7 linked regions of the Kluyveromyces lactis genome follow. The protein of the gene in region 2 binds, or shares a complex with, the protein of the main gene of each other region. Links are inferred from orthologs where the notes say so. Each region holds a gene or a part of one and is shown on either strand. Other genes may lie near its edges. The genes, in order: MRPL15, MHR1, MRPL49, MRP7, MRPL33, MRPL35 and MRPL51.

What was found.
Region 1: MHR1 (region 2) and MRPL15 share a complex: the UniProt entries of both Saccharomyces cerevisiae proteins name them as parts of the mitochondrial large ribosomal subunit. The link is inferred for Kluyveromyces lactis from reciprocal best matches to the Saccharomyces cerevisiae genes MHR1 and MRPL15.
Region 3: MHR1 (region 2) and MRPL49 share a complex: the UniProt entries of both Saccharomyces cerevisiae proteins name them as parts of the mitochondrial large ribosomal subunit. The link is inferred for Kluyveromyces lactis from reciprocal best matches to the Saccharomyces cerevisiae genes MHR1 and MRPL49.
Region 4: MHR1 (region 2) and MRP7 share a complex: the UniProt entries of both Saccharomyces cerevisiae proteins name them as parts of the mitochondrial large ribosomal subunit. The link is inferred for Kluyveromyces lactis from reciprocal best matches to the Saccharomyces cerevisiae genes MHR1 and MRP7.
Region 5: MHR1 (region 2) and MRPL33 share a complex: the UniProt entries of both Saccharomyces cerevisiae proteins name them as parts of the mitochondrial large ribosomal subunit. The link is inferred for Kluyveromyces lactis from reciprocal best matches to the Saccharomyces cerevisiae genes MHR1 and MRPL33.
Region 6: MHR1 (region 2) and MRPL35 share a complex: the UniProt entries of both Saccharomyces cerevisiae proteins name them as parts of the mitochondrial large ribosomal subunit. The link is inferred for Kluyveromyces lactis from reciprocal best matches to the Saccharomyces cerevisiae genes MHR1 and MRPL35.
Region 7: MHR1 (region 2) and MRPL51 share a complex: the UniProt entries of both Saccharomyces cerevisiae proteins name them as parts of the mitochondrial large ribosomal subunit. The link is inferred for Kluyveromyces lactis from reciprocal best matches to the Saccharomyces cerevisiae genes MHR1 and MRPL51.

Annotation. Positions count from the first base shown.
Region 1 is NC_006039.1:1,528,070-1,530,595, forward strand, and holds MRPL15 (mitochondrial 54S ribosomal protein mL57), read right to left. Parts: upstream 1,227-2,526; coding exon 501-1,226; downstream 1-500. Other genes in the region: KLLA0_C17380g (uncharacterized protein), read left to right, coding at 1-6; RNA-dependent ATPase ROK1, read left to right, coding at 1,872-2,526. UniProt on the Saccharomyces cerevisiae protein: Component of the mitochondrial ribosome (mitoribosome), a dedicated translation machinery responsible for the synthesis of mitochondrial genome-encoded proteins, including at least some of the essential transmembrane subunits of the mitochondrial respiratory chain.
Region 2 is NC_006039.1:893,436-895,947, forward strand, and holds MHR1 (mitochondrial 54S ribosomal protein mL67), read right to left. Parts: upstream 1,161-2,512; coding exon 501-1,160; downstream 1-500. Other genes in the region: GTPase-activating protein NEL1, read left to right, coding at 1,587-2,512. UniProt on the Saccharomyces cerevisiae protein: Component of the mitochondrial ribosome (mitoribosome), a dedicated translation machinery responsible for the synthesis of mitochondrial genome-encoded proteins, including at least some of the essential transmembrane subunits of the mitochondrial respiratory chain.
Region 3 is NC_006042.1:1,309,063-1,311,303, reverse strand, and holds MRPL49 (mitochondrial 54S ribosomal protein bL21m), read right to left. Parts: upstream 984-2,241; coding exon 501-983; downstream 1-500. Other genes in the region: mitogen-activated protein kinase kinase kinase BCK1, read right to left, coding at 1-183; enoyl-CoA hydratase PHS1, read right to left, coding at 1,302-1,946. UniProt on the Saccharomyces cerevisiae protein: Component of the mitochondrial ribosome (mitoribosome), a dedicated translation machinery responsible for the synthesis of mitochondrial genome-encoded proteins, including at least some of the essential transmembrane subunits of the mitochondrial respiratory chain.
Region 4 is NC_006042.1:1,140,011-1,143,065, forward strand, and holds MRP7 (mitochondrial 54S ribosomal protein bL27m), read right to left. Parts: upstream 1,596-3,055; coding exon 501-1,595; downstream 1-500. Other genes in the region: ILV6 (acetolactate synthase regulatory subunit), read left to right, coding at 1-231; SGF29 (Sgf29p), read left to right, coding at 2,225-2,965. UniProt on the Saccharomyces cerevisiae protein: Component of the mitochondrial ribosome (mitoribosome), a dedicated translation machinery responsible for the synthesis of mitochondrial genome-encoded proteins, including at least some of the essential transmembrane subunits of the mitochondrial respiratory chain.
Region 5 is NC_006039.1:553,255-555,412, reverse strand, and holds MRPL33 (mitochondrial 54S ribosomal protein uL30m), read right to left. Parts: upstream 756-2,158; coding exon 501-755; downstream 1-500. Other genes in the region: KLLA0_C06292g (uncharacterized protein), read left to right, coding at 1-301; NGL2 (RNA exonuclease), read left to right, coding at 1,370-2,158. UniProt on the Saccharomyces cerevisiae protein: Component of the mitochondrial ribosome (mitoribosome), a dedicated translation machinery responsible for the synthesis of mitochondrial genome-encoded proteins, including at least some of the essential transmembrane subunits of the mitochondrial respiratory chain.
Region 6 is NC_006040.1:1,119,512-1,122,536, forward strand, and holds MRPL35 (mitochondrial 54S ribosomal protein mL38), read left to right. Parts: upstream 1-1,433; coding exon 1,434-2,525; downstream 2,526-3,025. Other genes in the region: KLLA0_D13068g (M1 family metallopeptidase), read right to left, coding at 1-351; KLLA0_D13079g (uncharacterized protein), read right to left, coding at 643-909. UniProt on the Saccharomyces cerevisiae protein: Component of the mitochondrial ribosome (mitoribosome), a dedicated translation machinery responsible for the synthesis of mitochondrial genome-encoded proteins, including at least some of the essential transmembrane subunits of the mitochondrial respiratory chain.
Region 7 is NC_006042.1:776,644-778,753, forward strand, and holds MRPL51 (mitochondrial 54S ribosomal protein mL43), read right to left. Parts: upstream 930-2,110; coding exon 501-929; downstream 1-500. Other genes in the region: GCD2 (translation initiation factor eIF2B subunit delta), read left to right, coding at 1-290. UniProt on the Saccharomyces cerevisiae protein: Component of the mitochondrial ribosome (mitoribosome), a dedicated translation machinery responsible for the synthesis of mitochondrial genome-encoded proteins, including at least some of the essential transmembrane subunits of the mitochondrial respiratory chain.

The sequences.
Region 1 (2,526 bases), about 630 kb from region 2:
AAGTAAATTACCAGCAAAAAACATCCCTTCTATGAAGTTATATATGTATTTATATACATGTATTGTATTATGTACTTTTCTTAATCTGTTTTTATTTTGTATGTTAACATTTAATTAATGATAGATTTAGTTGTAAATTTATGTACGTCTATATTTCTAGAGATACATGAGATATATACAGTGCGCGCGTTTCTTTCGAGGTTCATTTTTAATTGAAGTGTGACGATGGAGTGTCGTTAAAAGGTTATGCTTTTCATGCTTTTGGTAAATTCATTATAATAAAACGTTGAAATTGAGCAGGGATGAAAGAGTAGATTAAAACACCACATTGACCAAGAGCTGTGATTGAAACTTCCGTTTCGAAATATATATATACAAGTTTTGAAAGCTCTTTCCCAACTCCGATGGAGACCATTCACTCGAGTGCTTTTTATTGATGTCGAAGTCTATTGTGTATTCCATTTCTCTTTCTTTCCTGTCGTGTAAAATTAGACATAATATTATAACTTCTCGGTCGTATCCCTGTTTGCTAACAAACTTTCAGATATCTTCGTTAGGGAATCACTATTGTCGCTGAATAGTTCATGCAACACGTATTCGGTGGCCTTGTCTTGACCGTGCAATAGATAGACACTGCCGACCACAGAATTTAGCACAGTTTGTAGCACGGTATACTCACCGTTATATTTGTGACTTTTTTGAGTGTCTCGTTTGTTCCAAAACACTAATTTATCTAGGTTTCTCCTTTGCAAAAATTCAGCCGTACTCTGTTTGGATATTAACATTTTAGAACTTCCCTTCCCAAGCATACCGAAATTTAGTCCGTTAATAACAGGTTCAGACTGTACGCTTTGTGATAGTTGCCTTTCAGAAACAGGTAGACCCAAGGAATGAAGACAAGCTTGATATTTCACAAAATGACCACCGATAATAGACAATTTCTGATTGTATGGTTTAATACCTTGGGCAAACGACTTGTGAGTCAAACATTGTGTAATGATGTCGTCTGGCAAGTCAATACCATATTTTTCCAAATTCAAACCTTGCTTAACAGTAGATACATGGCCATCCTTGACAAGAGAATCATAGTGCAAACCGTGTGGATTCTTCAAAGACTCAACTGGGTCTCTTTTCAAACCACGTACCCTAGTCCCAACGTGTAGATAAGAACCATTACGCACGCCGAATTTTGTGCTTAAGTTAAGACCAATTTTGGTTAAGGACATTATTCCAGAAGTAAAAAAATACTGTCTGAATGGTTTCTGTCTGGTATTTTCACAATTCAATCTTCCTCGACCGAATATCAACAGATTGTAATTACACAGGACACAAATATTAGAATTATTGAATCTTAATTCTAACAGTTTAGTCCTTTTAACTACGATTCAAACTGTTTCTTTGTAGTTTTTCGACTCGAGGCAGCGATCCAAATTTTGAAATTTTTCAAAATTTTTCAGATCACTCCAAACGAGGTCATCGCTGTGTCTAAGTGCTATCTTGTATGATGGGAATACATGCAATATCAAGGCATTAGGTACTGTTATCAAGGGAATATGGTCATTATGGGCTGGTATTATGAGGGCTTAATACCAGCTGTATCTTAAAGTAAGCTTTGCTGCATCTTTATGCCTTGAGAAGTACTTTTATATCGATTTTTACACTTATTGTACCCTAAGTTTTGTGAAAAGAAACGCTTCAGTAAGATCAATTTTAATTGAAAAAACTGCAATTAGATGTAGGCGATGAGATGAGATGAGATGAGATGAGAGAGTAGTAAGAGATTGATTATATCACTCACAGTGGTTTACTATCGAATTTATTCTCATTACTAAGTAACTTCTCACAGGCCAATACTAGCACCGCTAATTAACATGGATATCTTTAGAGTCTTGACTCGTGGAGCTAGCATAAGGAAGAATGGTGATTCTAATAGAACACAGTCTGCAGACTTTAGCATGGCTAATGAAAAGAAGAGTAAGACAGCTGGCAGCTCAAGTACACCAGCTAGAGATGAACAACAATTGACTAAGGAGTTGGATTTTTTCCGTAATAAGAAAATCATGAATAAGGTAAAGTCTGAGTCAACCAAAGGTGAAGGTGAAGACGAAGTACAAGAAGATAATCAAGAAGAAGACGAAGATCATGCTGATGACGAGACTGAGTTATCCGGGAAAATTATCACGAAACAAGATGCGTTAAAGTTACGTAAATCTTATCAAGGGAATGTTTCAGGGAATAGTGTTCCTTTGCCCATCGGTTCTTTTGAAGACTTGATCACAAGGTTCCAATTCGATAAGAGATTGTTAAACAACCTCATAGAAAATAACTTCACTGAACCAACTCCGATTCAAAGTGAATCTATACCGATTTTGTTGCATGAACGTGACATGATCGCTTGTGCTCCCACAGGTTCTGGTAAAACGTTGGCATTTTTGATCCCACTACTGCAACAGATAATCAACGATAAAACCACAGTTGGTCTTAAAGGTTTAATTATATCCCCAACAAAAGAACTTGCGAACCAGA
Region 2 (2,512 bases):
TTATGCTAGAAAAACTAAGAAAAACCCGAAGCCTCTAAGGGAAAACAGGATTGTCGTTAAAGAAACACCAGAGAAAACCAGAGAAACGGTGTTAAGGTTTCTCAAATTTGGTCATGTGACATTTTTTTTGCTTTTTCTTTGGTGTCCGGGTTCCTGCTTCTTCTTCCGTTAGGCGTTAATGCATGCATGAGACACATATGGTATGAAGCGGTAGAAAAGTAGAGGAAGTAATATGATGATTACAGAACCTTTGATATTTAGGTTACGTGATGATGGAAACAAGGGAGAAAACTGCTAGTAATCACCTTGTCAAATCAGTTAAACGCCGGTAGTGAGCTGAGGGTTTGTTTATATTATTTACAGAGTCGGATTGTCTGCGGGTTATATATGTACATGTAGTGATTTCTTAAAGACGTGACGAGTGAAGCAGTGAAAGATCTGAGCTCGGCTCAGCTTTTGCAACTGGAAATAGTTTGTATTTGCTTGTTTTCTTTTGTAACTCATAGAGAGATGTTTTGAGCAGCTGACTCCTGTTGTCTCACTCTTGCGAACTCTTCTTTGGCTCTTTCGCCTAGTTCTTTCAAAATTGCACTTTCCTCTCTGGAAACGTTCCCCAAACGTTCTAGTGTTGTGTGATTCAACTCTGGCAATACTGGGTTCCAGTATTTCTCTTTATCCCCCATTCTCCATTCGTCTTCCCAATGGACCTTAATGGACGATTGGACGTCTTTCAACTTTAGGAGACATTCTCGCAAATCGGCAACCGCTTCTTGAGAGTATGTTGGTCTGTATTGCGATGAGTACCATGTGTGGCCGGACTCATTCTTCTTTCTCATGTCTTTTGCCTGTTTACTGAATGTCACATCACGGAGATATCTTAATCTGCACAAATTCTGGTATACTTTTACACTCTTGTCGTAGTCTGGTAGATCAACAACAGCCATACATTTCCAAATATCACGTCTGGTGCTTGGTTTCTTATTCTCCCAGTTGGGTCTTTGGAAATTGGTATCAATTTGCTTCCAAGAAAAAGTCGGGAATTGAGAGTACAGCACTTGTCCACTCTCTAGGTTTCTGAATAAAAAGACTTGTGGTGCATACCCTGCTTTCTGTAGCCAGTTGGCTGGACGGAACTTGGTAATAGCTAAATGCTTGCTCATCTCTTCCTAGTGCCCTATGGTGTCTTCAAGCCTTATTTGTTAACAACAAAAGCCTTGATCCTCAGAGTTCTCTTCTATCTCCAGTGCTATTGATGGACTTCTGAAGAGTTATTTAAATACAATGTGTGCACAAATGTGGTGATCTCTTCTGTAATCAAGCTAAACTAACTATCAGCTTTCTCTTTTTCAAAATTTTTCAGCTTTTTCAGATGCCATAAACAACTTCGTAGAAACACTGAAAATTAAAGAGAATGAACCTAATATATACATTACCCGGATCTTGTGATGATATTGAATTCTCCGCTACCTGCTCTATCTTATCTTGGATCTCATCTCCAGAGAAAGGTTTTCCTATCAGCAGACACGCACAGTAGAGTTATCACCTTCATCCGTCAAGTGTCCGCATATTCCACCATCTAGAACTTGATGTTTGAATTGAATTATGGAGCCGTTCCTACGTCCCGGACAGATTGCTTAGCTAGAGTTCTCGATTGTGGAGATGATAACCGTGGATCGATAAGTGCCATTTGTGAGCCGGACTTGACAATTGACGGGAATTCAAGCCTAGCAAGCAGTGAGAATTATACCAATTGTAAAATCTGTGGAGGGTTTGCGAATTTTTTATGTTCAAGAGATTCACGAGCTGGGTGGTTTTGTTCTTTTTGTAATGCTTATAATGAACTAGGGAATATTCCATTATCATCGTCATACCTAAAACATTTAGGAACTGCTGCTGTGCCTACGCATTCCAAGTTCGCCATAATCATCGATCTTAATTGTGAATTTGAGGAAAATCTAGACGCGTTGAAGATGTTACAATTTGGTTCTGTCCAGTCATTGGCCCTGATCACGATTGAAGATGGGTCTGTCACTATTCATACTGACGGGTCACACATTACCGTAGATGCAGAATCTAGTAGTTGTATCAGCCATCTTAAGAAGCTTGACACAGAATGGTTCATTGCAAAGTATGGGCTTTTAGTGAGGAAGATTTGGACGGACCAAATATCTTTCGGTGCTAAACTCGCGGAACTTCTATGTCAACGGACTAGGTCAAAAAAAAGATGTAGAAGAAACACTGCACTCGCTATTTTTCTAGCACAATGTCTAAACCCATCACAATCCATTGCATTTGTTTTCGGACCCTGTACAGTAGCACCAGGTAAGGTTATCTCAATGGACCGAAAAAATCATATCAGGCAGCATAGAAATATAGAGGAAGACAAGGATGTGAAATATTGGAAACCTTCTAGAGAATTTTACAATAAAATGAGTAAGTCCTTAAAGTTTGCTCCATGCACGGTATTCGTCGCATCCATGGATCAGGTCGGAATATGGGAGATGAGATCCTG
Region 3 (2,241 bases), on a different chromosome or scaffold from region 2:
GGATCCCTTGCTGCTGGAATCAAAACTATAATCGTTCTTCAAACCACTGGTCACCTTGTGATCCAATGACGATGGATAAAACTCACTGATATTGGCAGGATCAACATGTTTGTTGAGTATAGATGAGGCAGATCCTGACCTTGAATGTCCAGCAGTGCTACTCTTCTTCTTCAAGAAAGACATATCATCCACGGTTCATCTATATTTAGCGGGACTTTACTTATCAGATACTAAAGTATCGATACCCAGTAATTGTTGCACTAAGCTCTTCTCTTATCGTCTTTCTCCCCTCTTTATTAACGATTAAAATGGTATTAATTACAATTGTTTCTATTTGAATTTATATCTATTCTCTAAAACGGTAAACGTTTCTAACAAATTCGATGAGATGCTGCCACTAAAACATAGTTACTAGATGGTATAGTATTTCTAATCGATCTATAACGACCTAACATTATATTAAACTTTTATTTACACGATTTTGTAGGAGGGTTAGTTCATTAATTGACTTTTAGCTCGGATATTCTCAGAATAGTCAAATCGGCTTTATTGACCGCATGACGCACTTTCCTGTTTCTTCTCTTGGTAACTTCTCTCACTCTAAGCGGGCGTTTTGTCTTCTCAAGAACTGTAGCCTTAATAGTGTATAGAGATGGATCAATAGGTTCGTCCACGAGCTTGAAGTTACGAGAACCAATGGTAGTCACATCAGTCAAATTTAGCACATCGCCGACCTCTGCTTGCTTCAGTTTAAACGGTAAGATAACCTTATCTCCTTCTGTCACCAAGTATGGTCTGTTGTGTATTCTGAATACGGCATATAGCTCATTGGATAACTTCAACGGCGTTAAATTCACCTTCGCTTTTTCTGCTACCGAGTGTGTTGTTCTGATGAAACTTCTCTTCAAAGGTTGAAGAAATGGGCTGAAACCCACCATTTGCCTTACTGGGAGGGCAAACATATGACTGATATTCTTGAACATCGTTTCTGCACTGATTCGAACGACAATTGGCAGATGCAATAGCCCTTTCAATCTGCTTCTTCTCACTTGTCTTAAATGTTGTTCAACTAGTCGTATACTGTTTCAACAGAAAATTTTTTGAGCCTTCGAGAGTTAAGTGTTGATGTCAGTCACGTGACGTGACGTGAAAAGTAGGGCACACACACAGTCATGAGAAGGAAGAGCCAACGGCCACGCCAAGGGACAGCGTCGTTTCATTTGTGCATTCATTCGGGTATGTTACAAATGTTACAGAACTTTTATACATGAGTCAAACTATTCTTTTAATCCTGTGACAATTCATGCAGATTTGCGTTTATCACCGTTCAAGGATCTCATGACCTTCCTTCTTTGGGCAACCATGTGTGAGAATAGCACCGGGAACCCTGGAATGTAGGCTAGCATACCTGCAATTAAGAAATACTTGTACAAGATATTGTATTTTGCTTCAGCCAACGGCAATGCAGAATAAATTATGAACAATTCGCTGCCGACGCCCAATGGATATAGCACGTAAAACATGTTATATCTCAATACAACAAGTACAGTAGGCGCTTGAGCCACCAAGTTGAAGAAGTAGAACATGTACCTCACTATTTCAGCAATACACCATGCCGACAACAACGTGATGTAATATATTTTATGCGCATTTTCTGCTTCCGGCACATACTGGAAGATACCGATGACTACCAAGAGTCGAGAGGCCACTTGAGCAGCAGTGGTCACTAGCGGAGCACGGACTATTCCAAACAAAGAATTTGTGACTTCAATTATAGCACCGCATTGAACGTACGTGACTAAATCCTTGGTAGCAATAAAGAAACTTGGTTGACCGATCTTTGGGTAAAGGGTCACGACTTGATATAGGACATAAGCCCAGGCAGAAGCAGAAAGTAGGTTGTAAAGAGGAAGGAAGGAGAAGATAGAAGCCTTAGATGATGCCATTGGGTGTGAAAGTGTATTGGTGGGCTCTTTGGACTTCGGGGTTCAATTTATTAAGATCCAGTTCGGTTCTAAACAGACCAGTTTTTGTCAATAACAAGAATTCATGGTTTCAGATTCATAAAATTAAGTGATGCATTGAGACGAAAAGGAAGAGAAATCCAACAATACCCAAATTAACAAATTGCAGTATGTATTGATGACATGAGAATTAAGATTTGAATTAGTGTTACTCGTATGTTATTATTACTATTACTATTATTAATATTATTACTACTTGAACTAACGATAAACAGAG
Region 4 (3,055 bases), on a different chromosome or scaffold from region 2:
TTTGGTGGTAAGATTGTTGATATCGCTGAACAAAGTTGTATTGTGGAATTATGTGCTAAACCATCCCGTATCTCTGCATTCTTGAAACTTGTGGAACCTTTCGGTATCTTGGAAGTGGCAAGATCAGGTATGATGGCTCTACCAAGAACCCATTTATCTGTCGGTGATGAAGATGATGCTCAAAGCAAGATGAATGACATCGTTGATATCTCTCAATTGCCTCCTGGTTGATCCAAAGGGCTCACCTGCCATAGTTTTGTACCTCAAAACAATCCAATATCAAAAAAATAGTAATGTAAGAGTATGTTTTGGATTTTGTCTCACACATATAGACAAATTAAATACGTTAACGATATAATATGGAATTAACCTTTCCAAATGATATATAGTCTCTAAAAAACTTTCGTTTTTTTCAGTTTAAACTATGATGATTGTTGTGGTTCTTTTGTTAATATGTACAAGGCTCTAAATGGTTTGTTACGTAACGACTTGGGGAAGATTTACAATTTGCTCAAGAAATCGGTCTTTGGTCTTGTAATGACATCTATCGTGTTTTGTTCGTAGTTGTAACGTCTGGTGGTTAGATTTTTCTTGGAAGGTTTGAGTGGTTCTTCCAATTTCTTCAATTCTGTTTCTGGTTTCACTGGCTTCAAGAATTTTCTGCGTAGTCTCACCTCTTCAGATAACGTCAAGAAGTTCTTTGCATCAGTAAACTTGGCTAGTACTTGCTTCTTACTGTTCTTGTCCTTAATATCAATTGCCTTCAAATCAGTAATTAGTTGTGTCTTTAGAGTATTCTTTTCTTCTGGAGAAATGTATTTAGTTAATTCAAGCTTGTTGTTAAATGACAATGATTCATTCAATTTGGTCGAGACCTGTTTCAACAATGTTAGTTTGTCGTCCAACTTAGATTTTTCTTGGTTTCTCATCTTCAATTTAAGTTCTTGTTCCAAATAGTAGTACGAATTAAATCGGGCATCGGATTCATTGAACCCATTCTTCAAACAAGTTCTCCATCTGAGCAAATATGGTAATGCAAACGCAAGTTCTTGTTGATCCAGCTCAACTTTCAGATCTGAAATTATCTTGCTGTATTCTGCCTTCAACTCTTCACGTTTAATCTCACGTTCTTGCTGTTTCTTGATCAATTCATCCTTCAGCAAATAAATCTTTCTTGGTAAAGCGTTCTCTTCTGCAATGGCTTTCTCTTCATCCTCAATGATGGCCTTGCCGAATCTTCTCAAACGTGGTTCGAAATGCGGCAAAGGAAGCTTTACATCCTTGTATAATGATACACCAATGAATTTCTTACCTGGATGAAATGGATCCAAATAGTATCTCACATAACCCGGCTCCAAAGCGAAAAGCGTATGATCTTTACCGATGCCTACATTTTCACCAGGATAAAACTTGGTACCACGTTGTCTCATGATGATCTCACCAACTTGAGTGGCTTGACCCTCGTATTTTTTTGGACCCAATCTACGACCAGCAGAGTCCTTCATACTGGTACGAGAACCTGCTGCACGCTTGGTTGCAGTACGCACCTGCTGCACCACAAACTTGGGAACTTGTTGCCACGAAGATGAGAACATTATGCGTTGTTTCGTAGGCCTGGTCCGAACAGTATCAAGCAATGTCACAGTAACTGTATTTCTGCGTGTATCTGTACTTAATGTATTTAAGATAGGATTTTAGTGACAAAAATTTTCCACAGTATGGCGGATTGTAAGGTAGGGTAACAACGAAATCCAACAAGATATAGCCCTTCGAAGGTTCGTGTAACTGACTGTTTAAGAGTTGAAAGTATTGATTTATACATTTTACCAATTTCATCTATTGCTGAGAGTTCTTTCGATACCATAGTGAATTTTTCATGCTTGAGAAGGAGTAAACGTCTAATTCACGTCAAAGTTATTCGAAACTGAGGTTCCAATTAAAGATCTACCATCACTATATACGTTTTGATGTTCTCTTCCAGCACGAAAAACTCATATTTCTCTAAGTACAAAACATCAAGAAACCGACACTGCTTGCATCGAAAAGAAGTCTTCACCTTTCAGATTTACGTTTGAATAAACAGGACGTCCATTTATAGAAGTTTCCCAAATTAATTATCGTGCTGGTGAAGCCCATATTATCTAATTGAAATAGGAATACTAAGAACCGACAGCCCATAGATAAAAAAAAAATAAAACAAAATATATCAGTGATTCTAGCGAAAATGGCAACGGAAGATAGATGGGGTCTTGCCGTGACTCAATTACAAGATCTATATAAAATAGGAGATATTGCGGGGTTTGAGTCTTTAGATCCGAAGAATATGAATTTCCAGAATATGAATTTGAATCAATTGGCTGATATCCATGAGAAATTAGAGGCTCGTCAGTCTGTAAATGAAAAGATGAGAAATTACTGCAGAGATTTGGTAGAGAACATTTCATACATATTAGATAATTATCCAGTGGAAGAGGAACCTATATTAAAGGAGGAATCCAGTTCGACGCATATCCCTGAATCGAGTGTTGTTGGTAGATCACATTGGACCAGTCAATTCAACCCAAGTGAACCAATTGAGGTTGGTTCCGAAGTTGCATATAAATCTAAAAAGACTGGCGAATGGATCCAGTGCATATGCACAAAAGTTTCTGGGGACGGACTCCGGTTTGAAGTGAAAGATCCAGAACCCGATGAATTTGGGAAACCAGGTGGTATATTCAAATGTAACTCGAAAGAGATCCTCTTGATCCCGCCCGTGACTATGAAAAGAACCCAGACTCCGAATTATCCAGCGAATACAAAAGTTTTGGCAAGATATCCAGAAACAACGACTTTCTATCCAGCTATTGTTTGCGGAAGCAAAAGAGATGGGACATGTAAGCTACGATTCGACGGTGAAGAGGAAATAGACAAGGAGACTGAGGTGGAAAGAAGATTAGTTCTTCCTTTCCCCTCTAGACGATGAGTTTCTTAATTATATCACGTTCACGAAATGTATGTAATTTTCCATAGCCTGTAACAATAAAGAAAAAAAAATTATGAAAGAACATTAAAT
Region 5 (2,158 bases), about 340 kb from region 2:
TGTTTTGAGCAAATATATCTCCCAGAATATGAGTGTTCAAAGGTTACCACAAAGACCTAAAACAAAACATTTGTACAATAGAGTTGATCAATTGCTGGCTCAAGAAAATCAATTCTTTTCGGCAAATGACAGTATAGAACTAAGTTTTGATGGAAAAGCTATGAATAAAAATGATATCTTCAGAATTGTAGATTCGTTCTCGGTGGCATTTGACGATGATGAATATGGTGAAGATGGTGACGACGAATACGTGAAACAGCCTAGGAATATTCTCACCAGAGAAGTCACCGGTGTCTTCTAAATAAAGACGTTTGGTATATGATACTCTCAAATACCTCATTAGAATAAGATTAATATTTCTTTGATCTCTATATACATGAAAATCCTAATATCCTTTTCTTTATGTAAAACAGAAGATGTTCATTGTGAGCCCAGTTTCTTCTCTGTTAAATGTTTCTGGTACATTGCTTTGTTTGTTATATTGTCTGGTATGATCCTTTCTATACTCTCTTTTCGACAGTAAATCCAGGATTTGATTTTCTTAGCTCACGCTGTTCTGCCTTACTTAAAGCTTTATCGGCAAGCTCAACGCTCACAAGCTCCTTTATCTGAGCGACAGCACCTGCAATAGATGGTGTAGCTGGTTGATATGCGACAGATCCTCTTTTTCCGAGTCCTAAACTCTTGACCACTGCCCTAGTCTTCTGTGGAGTACCAATGACTGACCTCTGTAATGTAATTCTGTAGAAAACCATGGCTATCTTTGAAAATTATTATGATAGCTATGCTTTTAGAAACCGTTCGCTAATACCAGTAATGAAGTATAATTTCCTCGGTCGTAAGTTTCGTTGACAATATAGAGAACTATGTCAAAAAAAAACGCTCTTTTAAGAGATCTTGTGCATCATTATCGAAGAGATTAACTGGGTATTCAAACCATTAATAGCCAACGTACATTGATTTTTCAAATAGCATCAAAACGTATAAAGTGATATCATGTGATGTATATTGTCTAGCAGCTCATCGCGTATGTCATTTGGGCACTTCTCACAAACCGTCGCAGGAAAGTGCTACCTACTGAGAAAGAACCAGGAATTGCATATAAAGATCTCAAGATTATATCTCGCTGTTTGAATATTTCTTCCTGAATATGAAGTTGCATTGAAATTGTCTTAGGAGGGGCATTTGCTTGGTTATGTATATATATATATATATATATGTCATTTCTTTTTTTCCAATATTTATGCCCGATTGAATAATATATATATATATCATATTAACAAGCTCTTAACGCCATGGTTGGTTAGATCTCTCTAAGGTTTATATCGCCACTATACACTGCAAAGTAGAAGTAATAATTTGAGCCAATATGGCTGGTAGTACGCAAGACACCGGCGTCAAAGACGTTCCAAAAGAGCTTGTGGAACAAGCAAAAAAGCTATCGATTACTGATGGGATGGACCAGTTGAAGGTAGAAGGTAAGAATAAAGTAAAGGACAAGAAAAGTAAGAAAAAAGGCAAGGCCTTGAATGAGATCACTCCAGAGTATATCGCTGAGATGCGAGCTAAGAGAGAAGCTGCGAAAATAGCAAAAAAAGAGGCTCTTATTGCTCAAGGTATAGATCCAAAATTGCCCGCAGACCTTAGATTTATCAAAAGGCCGATGTTAGCTGTTCCTCGAGATTCATCAGGCCAATCGACGAGAGAGGTATGTCCAATCAGTATAATGACGTATAATTGTCTTGCCCAAGCTTTGATTAGAAGAACACTGTTTCCTACGAGCGGAAATGCTGTTAAATGGTTTAAAAGATCTCAAGTTTTACTCAATGAATTCAAATATTACAATGTTGACGTACTGTGTTTGCAAGAAATTGACACGGTTCAATACAAGTCTTTCTGGAAAATGGAGTTCACAAAACTAGGTTACATGTGTCAATTCCATTTTAATCCTACCAAAAACCACGGAGTATTAATTGCTTGGAAAGAAGATCTATTTGATATGACAGATAAGATGTTAATTGACTACGACAAAGAAACAACAGGTGCCATTGAACCAAGAACAACTACCAAAAATGTTGGCATGTTGCTTTCTTTGAAGTTTAAAAAGAAAGTGCTAGAAAAATATCCAGACACCAAAGTCAGTGGTATAATTATTGGT
Region 6 (3,025 bases), on a different chromosome or scaffold from region 2:
GTAGAATCCAGACATATTAGTCTGAATCATACCCTTATAATCGATCTTCAACACGAATTCATCATCAGATATACTCTCCGGAAATTTCAAGGAAACAACATCGTTCTCTAAATCGAAACTATGGTCCTTCATTCCCAAAGACACAGACCCCTCTTTCAGTTCAACCACCGCAGAAACGATCTCAATGTCCCTCATATTCAATGAAATCATGTCATTGGCATTAACAGTGGACATAATAATACGCACGGATCCGATAAATGAATTGTGCTCAGCATCTAACTCACTCAATTCAATCTCATAATGGTTGGCCCTAAAGTCGGTTGGTAGAGTTTGAATCTTAACGTCAGCCATCTTTCAGTGAATCAGGTATAAACTATTCCAATACCTAATTGGTTCTCTGGATATATCACCCCAGTTGTCTTATATAGTGAAAAATCCAATATGAAATCAAAGAGTAGGTGTCATTCAAAGCTTTATCAAAGGTCTTAAGTGTTATCAATCTGTTTTCGTCAATGTGTCAAAATTTTTTTCTACCTTCCCTGCTGAAAAGCTCAGAAGTGAGCGTAGAAATTTTGATATAAGACGGAGTAGTATGAAAAGAGAAGCTCCTCCATTATCCAGCAGCACAACTGCTCATACGTTTCACCTCTTGTGTAGTTTTGGCAGTAGTTTCTTTGACCTATTAAACATTTTGCGCAGTATTGAAGAAGACCGTCTCTTTAGCTGATCTCCGACATCAGAGTCAATTGAGTCGCTTATATCAGAATCGGAGCTGAACATAGAGGGAAAAGCTCTCTCTGTTGGAGTTTGTGTATCAAACTGCGAGTAAACTTGAAGTTTAGATATTAGTATGGTAACTGCCTCGACATCGTGCCTTAACTCTGTAGAATTCGGTTCTGAACCGTTCATATTTGATTTAATAAGCTTTTGAATATTATACAGGATAATACAGGGAATGAGAAGTAAACCTACAATGCTGATTGGCAAAGGGTCTTTATACCAGGAAAAAGTTGAGGCATCTTGTCTTTACAGATCTGAAACAATGTCGCGATGAGCATTCTCATATAAGATTCGTCGTTTCAAACATAAATGATCATTATAATCCGCATATAGGAAAGGGAAGAAGAAAATATACAAAGAAAGATGGATATGATGGGTTCGCTGGATCAGAAGAGCGTCATTTGCAACATATGAAACCGAATGGCAGTCTCAAAGGCAAAGCTTACCAGTTATTGATCTCTGAACTTCCACTTGGAGCGAGAGGCACGATCTTCTGTTACCCGGACTGAAACACATTAAAATTTTTTGGTGAAAAATCGATTTCGAACGATTCAGATGAGTTTTAAGTATGAACGGACAATGAAGATACATGAATAATCAGTTGTAGGATCCCATTGGAGGGTGTTTCAGAGACTAACAACTCGAATTGGAGAATGTTGCGTAGAGGGTTGCACAGCAGTGCCAAATGTTTAGAGAAAACCGGGGTATGGTCGGACTTTTCTAAGAGATCCAAGTCGCTTGGTTTAGCATCAGAATCGATTAAGAAATACATCTTTCAAGGCGACAGCGATGACGTTAGAAGACGAGGTCCACCGTCTTTGAAGCGGAGGATGAACCGTTTGAAGTATACCTCTCCTGAACATATTGATGAGATGTTCCGCTTGAGTTATGAGTTTATGAGTAAGCGCGCTGAAGAGAAGTATTCGCAACTAGAAAATGAGACTGATGCCAAGGTACGTGCTAAGTTAGAAACAGAGGCTGAATTGCATAACCCAGAGGTCCAATACAATTTTCAGTATCATGACAAGTTAGAGAACGATACTAGAGTGATAGATTATGCTGTTCCAGTGTACAGGCGTTTGGGGCTGAAGCATTGGGAATCCTACGAAAAAATGTTGTTAATGCAAAGACTAGAGACTTTGAGTGTAATCCCCGATACGTTACCTACTTTACAACCAAGAGTACAGGTTAATTTACGTTTCCCATTCAGTACTGGTGTGAACAAATGGGTTGAACCTGGTGAAATTTTGTCCTCCAACACGACTTCGATGGTTCCAACAATTAAGATTCAAGAGTACGAGAACGGTATCGACTTCGAAAAGCAAAAATACACTGTGGTAATTGTGAATCCAGATGAACCGGATGTGTTGAATGATACATTCAAGACGACTTTGGCGTTCGGTTTGACTAATTTAAAGATAGACTATAACGACAACGTGGTAGATCCAAGAAAATACAATGAATCGCAGATTCTTGCAGATTACATTCCTCCAGTACCTGAGAAAAATGTTGGCAAGCAAAGGTTCTCTGTATGGGTATTCAGACAGAATGGTGATTTGGAATCCCCTGAACCAGTCGATAGAGAAAACTTCGATATTAGAGAATTTGTTCGTTCCCACAACTTGGACCCGGTTGGTGCTCATGTTTGGAGATCAGAATGGGATTCTAACGTGGCAAACATTAGAGAGAAATACGGATTACCAGAAGGGAGAGTGTTCCATAGAGTTCGTAGATCTGTTGTATGAAAAAAAAAATGAAAGTTTCCAGAAAGAGTTTATTTCCTCCTCGTCTCTCTCGCGATATATATGATTACACACTTTTCAACAACCTCAGGTGGTCTGAATAATATCTCATACCTCATGTAAATAATATGCAATGTAGAAAATCAATGCAACATACGCAAATCATAAAAAAAACTAAAAAGCTTGTTCGAATCTATTAAGAATATGATCATTAGTTAACATTTATTCCCGGTAACATAATAAATTATATAGTAATAATACGGTGTATGGTGCGTGCGTTCATGTGCGTCTGTTTTTTTGGACTGCCTCTGATTGAATATTTTCCTAGAGGCTATATATAGAATCTTCTTTTTTTTTGGCTGTTTCTTCTTCATATGTTATTGTATTGGCTGTAAATCTAATCGTAACAAAAAAAAGGATTCGTGAGGTCTTTCGTTCTTAGTCGAGGAAAGCAGATATAACTCTTGTTGTCATCATTTCTTGTTGACTACCAGAATTCAAAC
Region 7 (2,110 bases), on a different chromosome or scaffold from region 2:
AGCAATTTATCAAAGAGCGTGAAGCGCAGCAGAAGGAAGTCGAGAATAGCTCTAAGCAAAATAATAAATCTGGCAGTGCTAATACCAATAATGCTACTGCCGACGAAGGTAAGAATGTCAAGGATAAACCAATACTAGCAGAGTGGGAGAAATCACCTAATTTGCACATCTTCAATATAATGTACGATTTAACACCCCCTGACTACATCAAGAAGATCATTACAGAATTTGGTTCGTTGCCACCATCTTCTGTTCCCGTGGTTCTTAGAGAATACAAAGCATCAGCTTGAATGGAGCCCTTTGCATATATAATATACGATAATATCATATAATATAGTAAATGAAAAATTAGTATAGATCTTCTTTTTTATTAATTGCGTAGTAATATTCAACATCGTAGGTTGTTTACTTAGGTATCGGCTTCATCGAGGATATTGCTATATATATGTACAAGTTAAGCTATGATCTCGATATTACCATTCACAAGTCATTTTTTCGATTCAAACCTTGTGTCTGATGGCTGGGCTTAAATGTAGTGGAGACCAGATACCTCTCACACTATCGTTCAAAGTATCCACATTGTCGTTCTTAGTTCTGTGACGGAGTTGCTCACCAGATGCGTCTCTGATTAGTTTTAACTTATTCTCTACATTATCAATGTTCAGATTTTTTACGCAGATGGCTTTATTACGGCCATTAACATAGTCACCTTTTATAACTGGATGGCCAGACTTTCTTACTATTTCGAACTGTATTGTTGGATATTTTTCAGCCCATTGAATCATTCTGTTAGACGTTAGGAAATCTCTCAAACCCTGTGAGGAACCACCCCAATTACAGTATTGCAAAGTGATCTTTTTACATGGAAGCACAAAAGCGCCAACACCATTTCTTGCGATAGAAGTTTGTCTCAAAACTTTAACAACCATTACTTCAGAGAAATCTTTATGACCGCGGGTACCAGCTCTGATTAGAAAACAAGTTGGGTGTATTTTGAAACTGTGGAGAGATCCTTCAGATGCAGAACATAGATTCACTAATATATCTTTTGAGTTTTATTCGAGTTTTCAGTTCATGATTATTTTTTTCCAATTTCAAAAGACCATCAGTCACGTGAACAAATCTGTATGTATTCGAAGGTAGGAGGACAATTCACCACATGCTCACACAAATGAAAAAGATACTGGTACCAACACTGCTATAAGGTGACGAATGTAAATAATACAGAACCTCTTTCCGACTATATTCTGTTTCTTTCACATTGCTATGTCAACACATCCTCATGAGATGTCATACGTCATGTAAACTTGATGATCTGTCGATGGGTTATGACAATAATGCACTACCAGCGTTTGGTTAAGGGTACTTTTACTGAGCAAATCCATAGAAAGTACGATAGAGGCCCCAGATTCTGATCCAAGATGTCCCAAAGGCTTCATATGAGGTTAATTAAATAAAGGGCCTGATTTGCGTTCACCCATGGAATGTACGGATTGACACCTAGCGTATGTTGGATGCACACTAGTAATTTGTTAAAAAAATTATGCACATGCGTCATTTAAACCAATTAACTGGGCACTCCCTATTAAGTGTGATGTAAGTGTATGACACTTTGTTCAAGAACAGGCAAATGTATTGCCATAATAGTCACCAGTTTATCATTATGGTGCGTATAATGTCCCTATAACTATTGAAAAATTAAAGTTCTATGCGTTTTTTTAAGGATGCGTATAACGATGACCACCCCTAAAAAACATTCACTTGTAAGTAGCGAACAGTCAAGGTTTGTATCCGTTTCTTTAATTTATTACGGCGTTCACTGAAGCGTTTCAACGATGCAGTATAAAATGCGACAAAAAAATTTAGGGAAAAAAGCAGAAGAATACCATACTAATTAACTGGAACTTGGTAATTCATCAACGGTAAATACTTATAAGGTGTTAAGAGTTTATTAGCGTGTCCAAAGTAACATTTGTATTATATAAGAAGGGCAGCAAATGGCACTTTTTTACTACCATTTTCATACCTTTTACTTGCACCTTTATTTCATGTCATTGAAGAATTCTTAATATACATAGTTTTCCTTCAGATTAATTAAAGATTGAACACC